Linked DNA regions of Macaca fascicularis. The protein of the gene in region 1 interacts with the protein of each later gene in a pairwise test. Links are inferred from orthologs where the notes say so. Each region holds a gene or a part of one and is shown in the gene's direction. Other genes may lie near its edges.

Region 1 (6,891 bases):
GCTTGAGCCCAGGAGTTCGAGACCTGCCTGGGCAACGTGGCGAGACCTCATTCTCCACAAAAAAGAAAAATATAAAAAATAAAACCATTAAAAGCACTAATAATAATTTAGCTAGCCATTACCAAGAGGAAGAACAAATTCTGCTTATCAAGACAGCCATTACCTTAATACTTTTTTTAGCAATGCCTCATAAGCTGACAGCAAGTATAAACAGCTGGCTTAGCTGCAATAGAATGAATCGGTGTTTTAAGTGTGAAGAATTTAAAGCAAGCCAAGTAATTGTATAAAATTTAAATTTTATGATCATGTCTGGACCTTTTTACACTTAACACAATGGAAATGTTCATATTCATTTTTTTTCCCCAAAGGAAAAATTTCTGAATCATCACTATGTTGCACAGTAGAATAGAAATATGAATTCAGGTACTCAGTCAAGTTTCTAAAGAATGCAAATAACAGACACGATTTAACTTCCAAAATCTGAAGTCATCAACATGATTTTGTAGTACTCTATCTCAGGTTTTACCTAAAAATTCATTATTATTCAGATAAAGATAGCCCCCTGATCACATGTTTTTAAAAAGCCTCTGCCCCACCACAACTTCCTGAGATCTGTGAAGAAACTGCAGTCTTGTGATCAGACTCCATATAGGACTGGCAGTTTTGTAATCGTAGGGAAAAAACGGTGACTGATTTTATGTGTCAATCAGTTGTAGTCTGCTGATCTGATTAGAAGCCTTGACAAATGCCTGGTGGCGATTGCAAATAACTGCCAAGCATATAGGGATGATACAGTAGCCCACTGTTTTGGGATCAGCTCTTGTACAAGAGTATAGGAACAAAAACATCTGTAAGTAAGGTACCAGAAAAATAATTGTCCACAACCAAAAAGGCAAGGAGAGTAATCGAGCTTTCAAGGAGTGTGTCCATGTGGTTCCTTCAAGGGGCTCCTCAGGGTGCTGTTGAATGTGTTCCAAGGCCAGCCTATTGTAAGTCTCATTGATTTCAAAAACATAGTAAAATGCTGCTGCACTTGCTAACAGATACAATCCCACTCCAATCCATCCCATCCGCTGACGGAAATTCATCATTCTCCATGCTCTGTGCCTTCAAATTAAAAAAGAAAATACAATTAGGGTCTTGTAGTACTGTCACCGCAACTACTCCAAATGTACTTGCTTTATCTCCAAGAATTCTAGGTCGGGCGCGGTGGCTCACGCCTGTAATCCCAGCACTTTGGGAGGCCGAGGCGGGCGAATCACGAGGTCAGGAGATTGAGACCATCCTGGCTAACATGGTGAAACCCGTCTCTACTAAAAATACAAAAAATTAGCTGGGCGTGGTGGCGGGCGCCTGTAGTCCCAGCTACTCGGGAGGCTGAGGCAGGAGAATGGCGTGAACCCGGGAGGCAGAGCTTGCAGTGAGCCGAGATCGCGCCACTGCACTCCAGCCTGGACGACAGAGCGAGACTCCGTCTCAAAAAAATAAAATTAAATTCGAAAGCATCCCACTAACACACTTAAGATTTAAAATAATTAAACGCCTGTTAAGAAATGTAAAACTTACAGGTTTTGTGTAATAGTTACAATAAAAAAACAAACAAAAACAAAATAACCATTGATTTCAGTATATACTGAGTTCTGCTTTTTAACGGGAATCTCAGAATAAATCACTGCATCCTACTTAAACAAGTCCATAATACCCGCCCTCCAGAAACTGGAATTAAACTAGTTTCCCACAGCACTTTTCACTTTGATAGGTGAAACACTTTCGGCTTTACAGTACTGCTTCAGATGTGAACGCGGGGTGCTACAAGTCAAGCCCCCAAGTTAAGACAGTAACTCCTAAGCACTTACAATGGTCCCGAAAATCTTCCTGTTCCCACGGCAAGCGTTAAAGAGTCATTCAGCTCTGAATAATCGGGTGGCTTTGGCATTTCAGAGAAAGCCACCATAAAATAAATCCCCTGGGTCACCCGGCTAGGAGAAAGGTGAGCGCCGCCAGCCTGGGGCACCAGCTACTAGTGATTAAGAACGGCGTGACTGCGGCGGGTCACGCGCGGCCCGGCCCCCGTCGCCGCCGCCGGAGACCCGCTATGGGGACCTGACCCGGCCGGGAGGCGTCCCCGCCACAAGGGCCTCCAGGCGGCCGGCCCCGCCCCCTGCCGCGCTGCAGCGCCGGCACGCCGCGACCAGGGTTGTGCTGACTGCGCCAGGCCCGGGCCTCGCAGCCCTGCAGCGTCGCGAGCCCAGCGCCAGTCAGCGGCCGCCGGCAGAGCCTGCCTGCAAAGCTAAGGTCCCGGATCTCACCTTCCTGTCCCGGGTGGCCAGCCCGCCCGCCGTCCCGGATGCCGCCGCAGTCGGGGCTTCCGGCTCGGGCCGGAAGCGCGCGCGCCCCGCCCCCCAGAGGCCCGCCCCCCCTCATGACGTCAGATCGCCCCCGCCCGCCGCGCAGCTTCCCCCAGCTAGACCCAAACAGCTGGAATCCGCGCTGGAGCTGGGTATCTAGCTGCGCGGGTGGCGGCACGTCCCTTCAGGTGGGCGGCTGTCTGGGTCTGGCGACTCAGCGCTCCTCAGCCTTTCCTCCCGGTGCCCGATCGCGACTGTCATCGCCCGATCACTTCTTGCTGCGGAGAGCATCACAAGCACCTGGAGGACCGGCATCAGTCGCTTTGGCCCCTGAGTGTCCGTCCGAGCCTAGGGGAGCCCGCCCGCCCTCCCGCACCTCGTCGGGGCCCGGCCAGGCACCTCCGCCGCCGGCGCACGGACGCAGGCACCGAGCACTAGATTACGGTGAGTGGAAGCTGGCCCGGAGAGGCCCTGCAGGCCCGACATCCGCCAGGCACCAGGGCTGGGAGGGGTGAGGGGCGCGCGCCGCAGTGCGGCGGCCCTGGAGTCGCCGCGGGGGGCAGGGCGCGCGGGGCTTGGGGCCTGCACGCGTGCCTTGGACGTTGGCACCCTTAGCTAACCTGTCTGCTGTGTTTTGCAGGCTGCTGGACCTCGGCACGTTGACGAGATTTCCCTGAGGTACCGCGGAGGATTACTTTGAATTGCAGTGGCCGCCTGTGGTCTGGAATATTTAGAACTTAAGTGTATTATTTCGGGCACCATGACTTTGAGGCTTTTGGAAGACTGGTGCAGGGGGATGGACATGAACCCTCGGAAAGCGCTGTTGATTGCCGGCATCTCCCAGAGCTGCAGTGTGGCAGAAATCGAGGAGGCTCTGCAGGCTGGTTTAGCTCCCTTGGGGGAGTACAGACTGCTTGGAAGGATGTTCAGGAGGGATGAGAACAGGAAAGTAGCCTTAGTAGGGCTTACTGCGGAGACTAGTCACGCACTGGTCCCTAAGGAGATACCGGGAAAAGGGGGTATCTGGAGAGTGATCTTTAAGCCCCCTGACTCTGATAATACATTTTTAAGCAGATTAAATGAATTTTTAGCGGGAGAGGGCATGACAGTGGGTGAGTTGACCAGAGCTCTTGCACATGAAAATGGCTCCTTAGACCTAGAGCAGGGCATGATCCCAGAAATGTGGGCCCCTATGTTGGCACAGGCATTAGAGGCTCTTCAGCCTGCCCTGCAATGCTTGAAGTATAAAAAGCTGAGAGTGTTCTCCGGCAGGGAGCCTCCAGAACCAGGAGAAGAAGAATTTGGACGCTGGATGTTTCATACTACTCAGATGATAAAGGCGTGGCAGGTGCCAGATGTAGAGAAGAGAAGGCGATTGCTAGAGAGCCTTCGAGGCCCAGCACTTGATGTTATTCGTGTCCTCAAGATAAACAATCCTTTAATTACTGTCGATGAATGCCTGCAGGCTCTTGAGGAGGTATTTGGGGTTACAGATAATCCTAGAGAGTTGCAGGTCAAATATCTAACCACTTATCAGAAGGATGAGGAAAAGTTGTCGGCTTATGTACTTAGGCTGGAGCCTTTGTTACAGAAGCTGGTACAGAGAGGAGCAATTGAGAGAGATGCTGTGAATCAGGCCCGCCTAGACCAAGTCATTGCTGGCGCAGTCCACAAAACAATTCGCAGAGAGCTTAATCTGCCAGAGGATGGCCCAGCCCCTGGTTTCTTGCAGTTACTGGTACTAATAAAGGATTACGAGGCAGCTGAGGAGGAGGAGGCCCTTCTCCAGGAAGTATTAGAAGGGCATTTCACCTGAGTCTCAGGGAATCACGAAGGGATATGGCAATGAGTAGAGCATGAAGGTAGAACAGTCTATATACTCTTTGACACATACAATCCCTACCTTGTGCTGCCAAGTAACTCATTTTTGTGCAATTCTCAGTATAAGCCCTTTGTCGTTTCTATGCCTATTTAAAGTCTCCTAAAGGTGTAATTGACTAGGAAGGATGTAGTTCTACACTGCTGTTTACCTATTTAAATTCATCCTTGTGAATATCTTTGTTGTTGTTGTAGGGACAGAGTCTCGTGCTCACCCAGGCTGGAGTGCAGTGGCGCGATCTTGGCTCACTGCACCCTCCACCTCCCGGGTTTAAGCTATTCTCCTGCCTCAGTCTCCCGAGTAGCTGGGACTACTCGTGCCACCACGCCCAGCTAAGTTTTGCATTTTCAGTAGAGACAGGGTTTCACCATGTTGGCCAGGCTAATTTCGAACTCCTGACCTCAAGTGATCCACCTGCGTCAGCCTCTGAAAGTGCTGGGATTACAGGTGTGAGCCACTGCGCCCGGCCTCATCCCTGTGAATTTCTTATTGTACAAAAGTTCTTTCACTACCTGTGTGCAGTGCTCTGAGAGGACAGACAAGGCTCGGGTGTATATGCTGACCAGATCTCATTGAAATATCAGCTTGTTTGGTACGAGGCACAAGTGTAGCATGTCACATGTGATCATGTTGGATCATTGACAGTTTTTAGGTATGTATTGACCTACATTTATGATGAAGATCCTGAGTGGAGGTTAAGATACTAAGTTATTTTCTGTATGAATCAAAATTATATTGATTCTGTGCAATCAAAACAAAAGGCAGAATAGAATGCTGAGATTGGTTAAGTTTCAATGACCATCTTTACAGATTTCTGCTATGTGTCATCAAAACATCTAGTTCTGAGTAACATTTTCACGATTGTTATAAAATTATAGATGTGAGCTTCTAAAATAAAGGAATGGTAATAAAATGACGTTGTCTGTTTTGTTTATATCAAGGTTCCAGGAGAGATTTCATTTGAATAAAGAGTTCCCAAAGCATGAATCTGCAAACCACTGGACCTACACAGACTTAGTTCCTTGGACTCTTTCTTCTTGGTGCTCAGGGGTAGGAAACTGTTTTCTAAGTGAAGAGAGCTTCCACTGAAGCAGTAAAACAATGGGGTGAAACAAGACAGTGCACAAATTAGTGCAAGTAGTGCAGATGTATCAGTGTGTCAAATTTGGAGGGAGAAGGAAAGAAATGAACATTGCATGCTGCTGCTTGGAAGATTGGACTAAAAGTTTCTCCGTTTACTCTCTTATTTAGTCCTCTTGGAAAAAGGTTGAGCAGTATAATCTTAGCACTTTGAGAGGCTGAGGCAGGAAGATTGCTTGAACCCAGGAGTTGGAGACCAGCCTGGGTAATGTAAAAAAAAATTTTTTAAACTAGCCGGGCATGGTGGTGTGCACCTGCAGTCCCTGCTACTCAGGAGGCTGAAGCTGGAGGACTGCTTGAGGCCAGGAGGTCAAGGCTGCAGCATGCCATGATCATACCACTGCACTCCAACCCGGGTGACAGAGCAAGACCCTGTCTTAAAAAAAAAAAAAAAAAAAAAAAAAATCCTGCAATATAGGAAAACTCAGTTTCACACTTGTGGAAATGGGCACAAAAGTTTAGAAATTTGGTGTGGTGGCTCACACCTGTAATCCCAGCACTTTGGGAGGCTGAGGCGGGCAGATCACGAGGTCAGGAGATCGAGACCATCCTGGCTAACACGGTGAAACCCCGTCTCTACTAAAAATACAAAAAAATTAGCCAGGCGTGGTGGTGGGCGCCTGTAGTCCCAGCTACTCGGGAGGCTGAGGCAGGAGAATCTCTTGGACCTGGGAGGCGGAAGTTGCAGTGAGCCAAGATCATGCCACTGCACTCCAGCCTGGGCAAAGCGAGACTCCGTCTCAAAAAAAAAGAAAAAAAAAAAGAAATTCAGTCAAGGTGAAACATCCTTGGGCCAGAATTCTATCCTCTGATCCTCTGTAGTAAGTGTAGTGAGTGATTAGGTCAGAATTCTCTCCTCTTTCTTTCTGCAAGGCCCATATTCTTTCTACTGCCAAGAAAGAGAAGCAATCATCAGGGTATCTATACCCATTAGCCTCACAAGGGAAGCAGGGCAGGCATTGGCTCCATTTCATAAATGTCCATCTTATGTGCATTGCAGGGGAGTACAGTTGACCCTTGAATAACTTGGGGCTTCAGGGAGCCAGCCCACTGCACAATCTGTACATAAGTTTTGATTCCTCAAAAACGTAACTATTATTACTGACTGGAAGCCTTACCAATAACAGAAAGTTGATTAACATATTTTGTATGTTATTTGTATTATATACTATATTAAAGTAAGCTAAAGAAAAAATGTTCTTAAAATTATATGACTGGGTGCAGTGGTTCACACCTGCAATCCCAGCACTTTGGGAGGTCAAGGCAGGTGGATCACTTAAGTTCAGGAGTTTGAGACCAGCCTGGCCAACATGGTGAAACCCACACACACCTGTAACCCCAGCTACTTGGGAAATGAGGCGGGAGAATCGCTTGAACCTGGGAGGCAGAGGTTGCAGTGAGCTGAGATTGCACCACTGCACTCCAGCCTGGGCAACAGAGCGAGACTGTGTCTCAAAAAAAAAAAATGGGGGAAGAAAATTGTAAGAGAAACTATATTTACAATTCATTAAAGAAGTGCATCAT
Region 2 (6,078 bases), on another chromosome or scaffold:
TGATTTCAATCTCCTGACCTCGTGATCCGCCTGTCTCGGCCTCCCAAAGTGCTGGGATTGCAGGCTTGAGCCACCACGCCCGGCCCACTAATTTTTGTATTTTAGTAGAGACAGGGCTTCACCGTTTTGGCCAAGCTGATCTTGCACTCCTGATCTCAAGTGATCTACCCACCTCGGCCTCCCAAAATGTTGGGATTACAGGCGTGAACCACCGAGCCCAGCCCATGCTTTGTTATTTTATTTCCAATTGGAGAGGAGGGTTCATCTGTCAGTTTTAGGGGCATATTGGCTCTTATTGTCACCTCCATTGCTACCAGGAAACTCCTTTTCTACTCCCTGAGCCTGAACTAGAGGGACTTCTGCTCTAGCTCTCTGTCTGTGCTCAGCTCCTTCCAAGTTTGGGGCTACCTTGAGTCCAGCCTGCAGACTACTAGAGTGAAAAAAATGGAGCTGGGTGTGCTGGCACAGGCCTGTAGTCCCAGTTACTCGGGAGGCTGAGGTGGGAGGATTGCTTGAGGCTAGGAGTTCAAGACCAGCGTGGACAACATAGTGAGAATCCTGTCTCTTATTTTTTTTAAATGGTCACCAGGTTTAATGGTACTTCAAATTTACATCTTCTCCCCAAATCTACCTGTTATTATTTACTTTTCAGGGTCTTGAAGTAGCTGCTGCATGTATCCTGATCAGGTTTTGTAGCTGCCTTCTGTGGGAGAGAGACGGGAGAGTATACGTAGTACCTCCTCAAAACTGGGACCTCTCTGGTTGCTTTTAGGATTTTTTTCTCTTTAACTTTAGTTTTCTTCAATTTGACCATGGTGTGCCTATGTGTAGTTTTCTTTGTATTTTCCTTGGTTGAGATTCACTCAGTTTCTTGAAATGTACATTAATGACTTTCATCGATTTGGGGAAATTCTCTGTCATCTCTTCAAAGATTTATTTTGCTTCCTTCTCACCTTTTGAGACTCTAATGATTATACATATGCTATTCCTTTGATATTGTCCTCCATTTCTCTTACGCTTTATTCTTTCTTTTATTCTACATGTTTTCTCTCTGTGCTTCAGTTTATATAATTTTATTCATCCATCTTTGAATTATCTGAATCTTTTGCTGTGCTTAGTCTTTTTTTTTTTTTTTTTGCCTTAAACTAAAAAATCCTAAATACACATTAAAATAAAAAATGTTAAACTTGGCCAGGCACAGTGGCTCACGCCTGTAATTCTAGCACTTTGGGAGGCCAAGGTGGATGGATCACTTGCGGTCAGGAGTTCGAAACCAGCCTGGCCAGCATGGTGAAACCCTGTCTCTACTAAAAATACAAAAAAATGCCGGGCGCGGTGGCTCATGCCTGTAATCCCAGCACTTTGGGAGGCCGAGGCGGGCGGATCACGAGGTCGGGAGATCGAGACCATCCTGGCTAACACGGTGAGACCCGTCTCTACTAAAAAAAATACAAAAAATTAGCCGGGCGTGGTGGCGGGCGCCTGTAGTCCCAGCTACTCAGGAGGCTGAGGCAGGAGAATGGCGTGAACCCGGGAGGCAGAGCTTGCAGTGAGCTGAGATCGCACCACTGCACTCTAGCCTGGGCAACAGAGCGAGACTCCGTCTCAAAAAAAAAAAAAAAAAATTAGCCGTGTGAGGTGGCAGGCACCTGTAATCCCAGCTACTCAGGAGACTGAGGCAGGAGAACCACTTGAACCCAGGAGGCAGAGGTTGCAGTGAGCCGAGATCACGCCACTGTACTCCATCCTGGGCAACAGAGCGAGCCTCTGTTTAAAAAAAAAAGGAATTGTTCATCTCATTGTATTTTTTTTTTTATTTATCCTGTTTGAAATAAGTGATGGAACTGGAAGCATAAATAACTATTATTAACTGTATCTTTTTTTTTTCCAAAAAGGTTTTAAAAATATTATATTATTAGTTGAAGTATCTCAATTTTCTAATCTGGGGTAAGACTTTAAAAGGAACAAATAATAGAAGAGGGAGTATATTTTCTTCCCTCTGTAGTAGCTGACTAGCTCCTCTATGAATAAGTAAGATTATAGTGTTCATTTATTCATTATTATTAAAACTTTTTAACAAATATTTATTGACTACCTACCATGGAACAAGTTGAAGATTTTTTTTTTCCTCTTTTGAGACAGGGTCTTGCTCTGTCACCCAGGCTGGAGTGCAGTGGCACAATCACGGCTCACTGCGGCCTCAGCCTCCCTGGGCTCAGCTGATCCTCCCACCTCAGCCTCTCAAGTAGCTGGGACCACAGATGTACACCACCAACCTGGCTAACTTTTGTATTTTTTGTAGAGATAGGCTTTCGCCGTGTTGCCCAGGCTGGTCTTGAACTTCTGGGCTCAAGCAATTCACCCACCTTGGCCTCCCAAAGTGCTGGGATTACAGGTGTGAGCCACAGTGCCTGCCCAAGTTGAAGGTATCTTAACTTGGTTAAATGACAATTCTACCACTTAATAGAGTTTGCCCCAAATCCATTTAATATCGTACTTGGAGTTGTATACCAATTCCCCTGCCTCCAAGAGTTCAGCGGGAGAGACTAGGTAGTCTGACTTCACTTGGCATTCCTTTCTTCCTCATTTTATTTTATTCATAACCAGAGCTTTTTTTTTTTTTTTTTTTGGAGACAGTGTCTCACTGTGTCACACAGGCTGGAGTGCAGTGGTGCAGTCATGGCTCATTGCAGCCTCAAACTCCTGGGCTCCAGGAATCCTTCTGCTTCAACCTCCTGAGTAGCTAGGACTACAGATGCATGCCACCATACCTGGCTAAGTTTTAAATTTTTTTTGGTAAAGAGGGGGTCTCGCTTTGTTGCCCAGGTTTGTCTTGAACCTTCCCAGCTTCAAGCAGTCCTCCCACCTCTGCCTCCCAGGGTGCTGGGATTACAGACAAGCCACCACGCTTGGCACCAGAAAAAGTTTTATCATAATGTATTAAGTATGTGCCAGGCATTTACTGAGCACTAGGAGATACAAAGACCACTAAAACATAATCCCTAGCCTTAATGGAATTTTATATTTCAGTAGGACATAAACATAAATAGGTACCATAAGGTATTAGAAATGTGATAGAAATAAATATATGGTAGAGGGGAGGCAGAGTAGAAGTAGTCATTTCTACCATAGGCAAAAAGGTTTACTAGGGGAGATTAAAACTGACACTGAGTCTTATAATGTGAGTAGAAGTTGCCTGGAGAGGATGGGATAGGAGAACAAATTATTTTCCAGCAAAATATCATGTAATTTATTTAAAATACAAAAATAGCCCAGTGAGACTTTTGGTATAAAACTTGAAGGAAATTTTTATTTTTCTAATTTATCTCTTCCCCCTAATTTTAAAAAATCTTTAAAGGTTATCAACTGGCAAACATCTCTTCACATTCCACCACAAGCTAAACTAAGTCCTGAAGCTTCTGATCTTATTATTAAACTTTGCCGAGGACCCGAAGATCGCTTAGGCAAGAATGGTGCTGATGAAATAAAAGCTCATCCATTTTTTAAAACAATTGATTTCTCCAGTGACCTGAGACAGCAATCTGCTTCATACATTCCTAAAATCACACACCCAACAGATACATCAAATTTTGATCCTGTTGATCCTGATAAGTTATGGAGTGACGATAACGAGGAAGAAAATGTAAATGACACTCTCAATGGATGGTATAAAAATGGGAAGCATCCTGAACATGCATTCTATGAATTTACCTTCCGAAGGTTTTTTGATGACAATGGCTACCCATATAATTATCCAAAGCCTATTGAATATGAATACATTAATTCACAAGGCTCAGAGCAGCAGTCGGATGAAGATGATCAAAACACAGGCTCAGAGATTAAAAATCGCGATCTAGTATATGTTTAACACACTAGTAAATAAATGTAATGAGAATTTGCAAAAGGGCCTGAAATGCGAGGTGTTTTGAGGTTCTGAGAGTAAAATTATGCAAATATGACAGAGCTATATATGTGTGCTCTGTGTACAATATTGTATTTTCCTAAATTATGGGAAATCCTTTTAAAATGTTAATTTATTCCAGCCGTTTAAATCAGTATTTAGAAAAAAATTGTTATAAGAAAAGTAAATTATGAACTGAATATTACAGTCAGTTCTTGGTACTTAAAGTACTTAAAATAAGTAGTGCTTTGTTTAAAAGGAGAAATCTGGTATCTATTTGTATATATGCTAAATAATTTTAAAAGACAAGAGTTTTTGAAATTTTTTTGAAAGACAGTTTTAGTTTTATCTTGCTTTAACCAAATATGAAACATACCCCGTATTTACAGAGCTCTTTTTTCCCCTCATAACCTTGTTTTTGGTACAAAATAAGCTAGAGAAATTAAGCCATCGTGTTGGTGAGTGTTCCTAGGCTAATCTTAATCTGTATAATTCACATCCTGAAACTAAGGAATACAGGGTTAAAAAATATTAATATGTTTGTCAGAAGGAAAGATAATGCATTTATCTTCCCGGCCCCATGGAATATTTAATCTTCTTGCATTTATTTCTCAAGAATTACTGGCTTTAAAAGAAGCCAAAGCACTACTAGCTTTTTTTCCATATTGTTATTTTTGATGCTGCTTCCAATTTTAAAAGGGAACAAAGCTGCCATAAATAAAAATTTTCAGTACTGAAAGCTAAAATTTTTTTCACCATCCTAAGCAAAGAATTATTTTCATGTTCATATACTTTTCCTGTATAGTAACTATTTTGATTATATTATCAATGTTACCTGTTTCCTCTTTCAGAACAGTGCTGCATATACAGATTGTTATTGGCAAAGGAAAATCTGGCTATCTGGCAATATTTTACCTAAGGGCAGATTAATTGGTGAAAAAATTAACTCTTAAGATGGCCATTAATAATTAGAAAAATTTACAGAGTGGTCTTAGTAGAAAATCAAGTCCTCCTAATTTATTTAAGGTTAAATAATGTGTTCAACATGACTATTATGTATAATGCTTAGGTTCTAAGGAAGATTAAGGTTCTATACCAAAATACATGAGCTTATCTTTTAGGAAGGGGAAAAAGGCTCTATTTTGACCATAGTAAAATTTGTATTTTATTTCCTTTTCTTAAGCTACATTGATAAGGGATTGTTTTTATCAAAAGTTACTATTTGGGGATTGGAGGCATAATTTTAATGATTTTCATACTTTTAGCTTTCTTCACATAAAAGCTAATTGAAACCATATATGTAGTAAAATTAAAGGCAGAGCTGTTGCAGTTGAATTGGAGAGTCAGGGCAAGGAACACTTACTAGCCCACACTTCCTACCTTTCTACAGGTGGTCCTTTCAGAACTCAGCTTGGAAACCTACTACTATGTTATCATGGGTCTTTCAGGGTTAGTGGTTCTTTTGAGAATCTGAAGGAAGCTGTGGACTCTTCCCAGGAAAAAAAAAAAAATCAACACATACAATGTTGCATGCAGTTTCAAGGGATTTTGGACATATTGAAACCTATCACAGGCTCTAGGTTATGGACCTCTGTCCCATGAGAAAATTGATATATTAAACTAAGAACTTTGTTTTTAACTTACCAATCACTACTCAGCACATCTTATATAAACTGATAATTTGTGATGGAAAAGGTCTGTAACATGTGATGTAAGGTGACCTTATGAATGCCTCTCTTGCTGGTACATTAATTTGTTTTAAATGTATCATTTGGAGGGGACTGAAATGTTGGACTCATTACAAGCTTGATACAGAAATATTTCTGAAGGATTTCTAATTGGAATTATAAGAAAATGTGCTCTCATGAAATGGCAGTCTTCACCTCATGGTTCATGGAACATTTGGTTAGTCCCATAAAATCCTATGCAAAACAAAGTAGTTCAAGAATTTTTAGGTGAGTACTCACATTTGTAAGGTATTCCTCTTGCTCTTTGGGCTTTTTCAATCTGATTTATTTAAATTTTCATTTAGTTGTTTTACTTTTGGACTAAGGTGCAATACAGTAGAAAATAACTTTGTTACATTTATGTTGTAGGAAATCTAAGGTGCTGTCTCCTGCCCCTTCCCTTCCCACAAAATCTGTATTCCCCCTATTGCTGAAATGTAACAGACACTA
Region 3 (6,148 bases), on another chromosome or scaffold:
CCCAAAGTGCTGGGATTACAGGCTTGAGCCACCGCGCCCGGCCTGAGGGAGGTTATGTAATGCTTATGGAAAGGAGCTTGGAAAGAAGAGGTTGTAGATACAGAAACCAGGGCAGTTAGTTGATGGAATTCAGTTATTAGGGATATTGGGATTCCAGATGGAAGGTAATCCAGATGGAATACCTTTAGTCATGAGAGAGTTGTGACAGAAGGAAATGAGGTAAACAAAGGTGTGGGTGCAGCTGACTTGTCATTTTGGGGCCAAGAAATGAAATGCTTTCCAATTTAATGAATTTTTCTCCTCATTGAAGGCAAAAGTAGTTATCTACTGAAAGTGAAGAGGAGTGGTAAAGTAGTATTTTTGCTAAGTGAAAAGGGTTTGAAATCATTACTGTGAAGAATAGGAGAGAGAATGACCTTGAAGAATAAAGAGAGATTGCTGACTAAAAACAGATGTTTAAGGTGGAGACCACATACCAGTGGTGCCTTCTGCATAGCTGTGTAATTTGGTATATTCACTCAGGCACCTCACTTTCAGCCGAGATTGGAAGCCTGAGAGTTGGTATAGAGAAGGTGACAGTTGGTTTATTCAAGGTTGCTGTGTGCTCACTAGATGTGACAGAAGAAATATGGGACAAGTGTGTTGAGGAAGTTGGCAAGAAAACAGACAAAGAGATTAGCCATGAAGTCTAGACCAGGAGTTGGCAGATTATAGCCTACAGGCCAAATCTGGCCCACCACCCGTGTTGGTTGTTTTTGGTGGTTTTGGTTTTTTTTTTATCTCTTATATTTTAGATGTTTAAATACCTACATAATATCCATACTATGCCTCTTAGCCCACATAACCTATTAATAAAAATATTTACTATTTCACACTTCAGGAAAAGGTTTGCTGACCCCTTATCTAGACTAAAATAGGATTGGACTAACAGGTAGAGAATAGAAAGGGCCTTAAAGTCTCAGTAAGATCCAAATATTAGGTATATTGGAAGCACCTGAGTGAGAGACCTGGGAAGGATAGAGGTGGTGAGATAGGATTGTGAGTTAAAGACTTCAGATCTGGGGAAGCTGTAACCCCAGGTCTAGCTGTGGCCACAGTAGTGGGTAGCTGGAGCAGAGGTGGGCCTGTCCGTGGAGTTGATGGCAAGGAACTAACAGCCTGAGTGGAGACAGTCAAGTTGCCCAGGGGCTGGAGGAAGGGAAGGCTGATGGCCAGCCATTCACATTTCCAGTTTGGGATAGGAGAGTTAATATAAATAACAATCAAATATATTCAGTCCTTAAAAGTGTGGGAAACCTGACGGGAAGGCTGATCATTAATTTTTTTTTTTTTTAAGACCTGGAGCCGCGGTGTGGAAGGGGTTGCTAGTGAATAAGGAGGCTTGTGTGTGTTAGGTGGCCTTAGTAAATGGTACCAAACCATGTAAAGCAGAGCCACCAGAACTTGGGACATTGAACCAAAACCAATTTCTGATGCTTCCAGCTGCCTTACTGGTGATTCATTTAGGAGAACGTGGCTTTCCTTTGTTACTGTAGTTTTTGAAAGCAGTACTAGCGTGAGTTTGTGGTTACAGACTTCACCTTTCCTTCAGTGCTCCATGCACATAATCAGAATGACTTTCCTTCGTCACCCGCAAGTTATTCTTACAGCTGGATGGCAGGGTCGTTGAAGAACTTCCTCATAAATCACCTTCAAGTCCTTTCTAATCTAGATTCTGTGATAATACAAGTATGATGCAGTTTTCACTAAAAGCTAAAAAAAAACAAAGCCCATCTAATCAGAGATGATTTTCACCTCTAATTTCTTAATACCTCTGTTGCAGGCACTTACAGGGCTGCAAAAATGAGTGGTACCCGTTGATATTGTGCTGTTATCCATATCTTCTTTAGCCAGTATTTCTTCATATGTGGGAAAGTAGTAGCCTCAATTTTACTTTTTACTTTTTTTTTTTTTTTAAATTTAGAGTCTTGCTATGTTGCTCAGGCTGATCTCGAACTCCTGGGTTCAAGTGATCCTCCTTCTCAGCTTCCTGAGTAGCTGGGACTATACGCTTGTGCCACCATGCCCAGTTTACTTTTTTATATTTCTGCCTTATTTTATCCTCATGTCAGGACCACAGATAGAGCATTGTTATCCACCAACATGAATCTGTCATGGCATAAAACAGTCAAGAAGTCTAAGTGAAACCTTGACTGGACCGTCTTTGGGCTTGTGCGGTAATGCCTCATGTGCAATGAATTCTCAACAAATGTTTTTTAAATTGAATTGGAATCTTCCATTTCTATAGTAGCACATTTTGTACCTTTAGGCAAAACTTGATTTTAATGTGTTGTTTTCATATGTGTTTGCTTGTTTCTTGAGTAGCTGATGGATTTACAACTGAGTGACAGTAACTTTCGTCGACACATCCTGTTGCAGTATCTCATTTTATTCCAATATCTCAAGGGGCAGGTCAAATTCAAAAGGTAAGATAATATGGGTAGTAAATAATTTGTAAACAGCCAAGAAAAAAAAGGACTTGCTTATGATTTTTCTTTTGTATTGTGTCCATTTCATGTTAAGGTTCTATCCCTAAAACACATGTATTGCAGCTGATATATTGAAGGCTTTTAGATATTAGGATTAAGGAAAAGATGTTAAATATATCTGTCAGTGTGAGTTTTTCCTGCCCCAATTCCAGGGCTTAGCAGGAGTTGTCGTCTTTATTGGCAGGTGGAGGTCTCTGCTCCAAACTTCCATCATTCCCTTCTCACCTCCCTCAGACCTCCTCCAAAGCGGATTTGTAGACTAAGCCAGTAATACATCTCTCACAAGGTGTGGAGCTGTGTAGGACATTCAAGCTAAAAGATGCAAATAAAATATTTAAGCAAAAAGGAGTTCATTTCTTTGGGGTTTCACAAAACCTTATTAGGCTCTCTACTGTCTATCTAAATCCCTCCATCCATTTCCTCCTGTCCTGTCCATAACTGAAGGTGGAGCCCACTGCTACTTAACGATATTTGTGTTAAGGACACTGAGCAATGCAGTATTAGTTGTATAATGACTTTACTACCTGCTGGGTTTGAATCCCAGGCTCATCATTTGCTGGCTGCAGTGCAGCTCTTTCAGACTTGTCATTTTAAGATAGTAGCACATGGTAAACACTAAAAAAATGTAATTTCTTATCCTTCTATCTATTTTTGAGGTTTGGTATAGCATTGTAGGAAGATCAGGGACTTTGGAGTGAGACGTAGGTTTGAATTAAAGCTTTATGGCCTTGGGCAAATCATTGAGCCACTGTAGTCTGTGTTTAATATGTACATGTACTTGTTCCAAGAATTCAGTAAATAATGTATGTAAAGTGTTCAGATCCTAGCCATCAATATTTATTGGATGTCTTTAAATCACCTAGTGCATTGTGAGAGTTCAGTTAGTGGTGGCTATTAACAATTTGGGTTTGCCTGTTGCCTTTTCTAGGGTTTGGGTGTTTTTATTCGTTGTGTTTTGAATGAACCTTAAAGGAATGTAGCATGCCATACTGAATGTGCATCATGTATACAAGTATCTTAATATCAAATCAGAGGTTTTCATTTCACACTCAGCTTATTTTAGGAAACATTTATTGCTCTGTTCATAGTGAATCCGATTGATTAATTGAATGTTTTATTACCTGCATATGTTTTTATGTCTTTAGTACCAACCCTCTTGAGGAAGAAGTGCAAGAATTTTCTCTTATAATCCTTTCATTTGTGACTATTCTTATCTTGGTAATTTTTGACACTATCCACAGTATAGTTACATGTTACATGCCTTGTGTTTTTTAAAGCTTAAAATTGGATATGCATTGCTGTAACTCAAGCATGCTTTCATTGCTTTGTTCCCTAGTTCAAACTATGTTTTAACTGATGAACAATCACTTTGGATTGAAGATACTACAAAATCAGTTTATCAAGTAAGTTCAACACGCAACAAACCCATGATTGAAAAAATGGAAATTTAGGATTTTCTTTGTTTCAGCCCCAAATAGGAAAATAAGGATAAAGTTAAGCTCAGGTACAAGACCACAAACACTCCTTGGTTCTCTGCCTACAAACCACTCCTATGATGCAGAAAGTTGTTGAAAGCTTAGTATATTCTTTCTAATCACAGCTACTATCTGAAAACCCCCCCGATGGAGAAAGATTTTCAAAGATGGTAGAGGTATGTGTTTTTTATGTTTACATCCTCTTCTTAGCACGAAACAGAATTTCAGAGGATTCCATTAACCAAAATGTAATCTCTGTTTTTCCCAGCATATATTAAACACTGAAGAAAACTGGAACTCATGGAAAAATGAAGGTTGCCCAAGTTTTGTGAAAGAAAGGTAAATACATACTCATCACAAGAACGATGAGAAAAGCTTTTGAAAATATGCTCTGATACGACTATAGCATGTAAAGATACATGTATATATTTCATATAAAAAATGTAAGTCGAACTCTGTAAGAGTACAACCACTTTGATTTACCTCTGTATTTTTTTTACCTCATAAATTTCTTGTCATTAAATTCCTGGAACAAACATCTATATTATTGAGAAGAATACTGTATATCTACTCCATGTGATTTGCCCTGCAATGTGGCATTTTTGTCTTATATTTGATAATTGTTCTATCATAATATGAAGTTTTCATCTTTTTTTTTTTTTTTTTTTGAGATGAAGTCTCTATCACTCAGGCTGGAATGCAGTGGCGCGATCTCAGCTCCAGTGGCGCGATCTCAGCTCACTGTAGCCTCCGCCTCTTGGGTTCAAGCGATTCTCATGTGTCAGCCTCCCGAGTTGCTGGGATTGCAGGCACCTACCACCATGTCTGGCTAATTTTTGTATTTTTGTAGAGACAGGGTTTCACCATGTTGGCCAGGCTGGTCTCGAACTTCTGATGTCAGGTGATCCACCTACCTCAGCCCATCAAAGTGCTGGGATTACAGGCATGAACCACCATGCCCAGCCAGTTTTCATCTTTCTTAAGAGGAAAACAATAACTAAATTTTATTTTACATTAAACATTCTTCTATTTCTGCTATCTATGTGTAATTCAAAAAATAGTGTATGTTTTTTTTCACCACAGAACATCAGATACCAAACCTACGAGAATAATTCGGAAGAGAACAGCACCCGAGGACTTCCTAGGGAAAGGACCCAGCAAAAAAATTCTGATGGGAAAGTAGGTGAACTTGTCTTCATGTGGAATGTTCTTATTTTTATATTTTGAAGATGTTACTATAAGAACTCTCCATCCAAAATATAATATGAATTTGTGTTTGGTACACACATAGATAGCCAGAGCAAACCGCACTCTCTATACTGCCCATTATGTAGGTTCATGCAGCAGATAAAACCTTCATTTTGTCTCCAGCTTCCAAAATCTGTGTCTCTTGGCTGTGCCGTTTTTTCCGTTTCAGACAGTAGGATTGTTTAGATTGATGAAGCTCACTTCTAGTTGTTGCAAGGTACCATAATCCTTGAGTTCTCTTACCTTCTACTTAACTAATCATTGCTTTAGATTGTGCTTGAATATTTTTAGAAAAAACTAAAGATTATTCAATTATCATTAGTCATAATTATAATTAATGATTATATGTTCATATAGAGAATAATTTTAGGTATTTTAAATACCAAAAATTATTGAGAAAAGTAAAACTCATGCTATCAACATCCCCAAATCCACTATGTACATTGTATTGTTTTTCTGTTCAGTTTCAAAGCACATAAGGATGGTGTCCATAAAAAACGTATTTATTTCTGTGTCTGTTTTGTAGTGAGGAGTTAACAAGGCTTTGGAATCTTTGTCCTGATAATATGGAAGCCTGTAAATCAGAGACAAGGCAAGTTGAACATTTTTCAAATGAAGTGTTGCTTTTACCAAGTTGAGTAGAATGGAGCCTTTTCTCAGCTATGATCAGAGCTCAAACGAAATTTAAAAGTTTATTGTGGTTGACTCTTGGCACAGCAGAGTGTAACTTCCCACCATAAAACTCCTCGAAGTGCTGATAAAATAATTTTAGAAATCACAAAAAAATAAAGATTCACAAAAGGAATCAAAACTACCAACAGAAGAGTAAGCCTATGAACAGAATATGGTTCCAGGGCAGCAGTACTAATGATTCCCAGCTTTGGGAACCAGGGAACT

Evidence for each region.
Region 2: the proteins of MOAP1 (region 1) and LATS1 interact in a two-hybrid assay, tested with the Homo sapiens proteins (2 studies listed by BioGRID and IntAct). The two-hybrid records come from large-scale screens. The link is inferred for Macaca fascicularis from reciprocal best matches to the Homo sapiens genes MOAP1 and LATS1.
Region 3: the proteins of MOAP1 (region 1) and THOC1 interact in binary tests that used the Homo sapiens proteins (3 or more experiments, as listed by UniProt). The two-hybrid records come from large-scale screens. The link is inferred for Macaca fascicularis from reciprocal best matches to the Homo sapiens genes MOAP1 and THOC1.

Annotation. Positions count from the first base shown.
Region 1 is NC_088381.1:161,179,830-161,186,720, reverse strand, and holds MOAP1 (modulator of apoptosis 1), read left to right. Parts: upstream 1-2,792; intron 2,793-2,988; coding exon of another isoform or gene 2,989-3,011; 5' UTR 3,012-3,108; coding exon 3,109-4,164; 3' UTR 4,165-5,140; downstream 5,141-6,891. Other genes in the region: LYSET (lysosomal enzyme trafficking factor), read right to left, coding at 696-1,107, 1,857-1,954.
Region 2 is NC_088378.1:57,648,829-57,654,906, reverse strand, and holds part of LATS1 (serine/threonine-protein kinase LATS1), read left to right. Parts: intron 1-3,358; coding exon 3,359-3,868; 3' UTR 3,869-6,078. UniProt on the Homo sapiens protein: Negative regulator of YAP1 in the Hippo signaling pathway that plays a pivotal role in organ size control and tumor suppression by restricting proliferation and promoting apoptosis.
Region 3 is NC_088392.1:68,908,234-68,914,381, reverse strand, and holds part of THOC1 (THO complex subunit 1), read left to right. Parts: intron 1-51; exon of another isoform or gene 52-1,767; intron 1,768-2,364; coding exon 2,365-2,465; intron 2,466-3,864; coding exon 3,865-3,931; intron 3,932-4,128; coding exon 4,129-4,179; intron 4,180-4,271; coding exon 4,272-4,342; intron 4,343-5,086; coding exon 5,087-5,182; intron 5,183-5,777; coding exon 5,778-5,843; intron 5,844-6,148. UniProt on the Homo sapiens protein: Component of the THO subcomplex of the TREX complex which is thought to couple mRNA transcription, processing and nuclear export, and which specifically associates with spliced mRNA and not with unspliced pre-mRNA.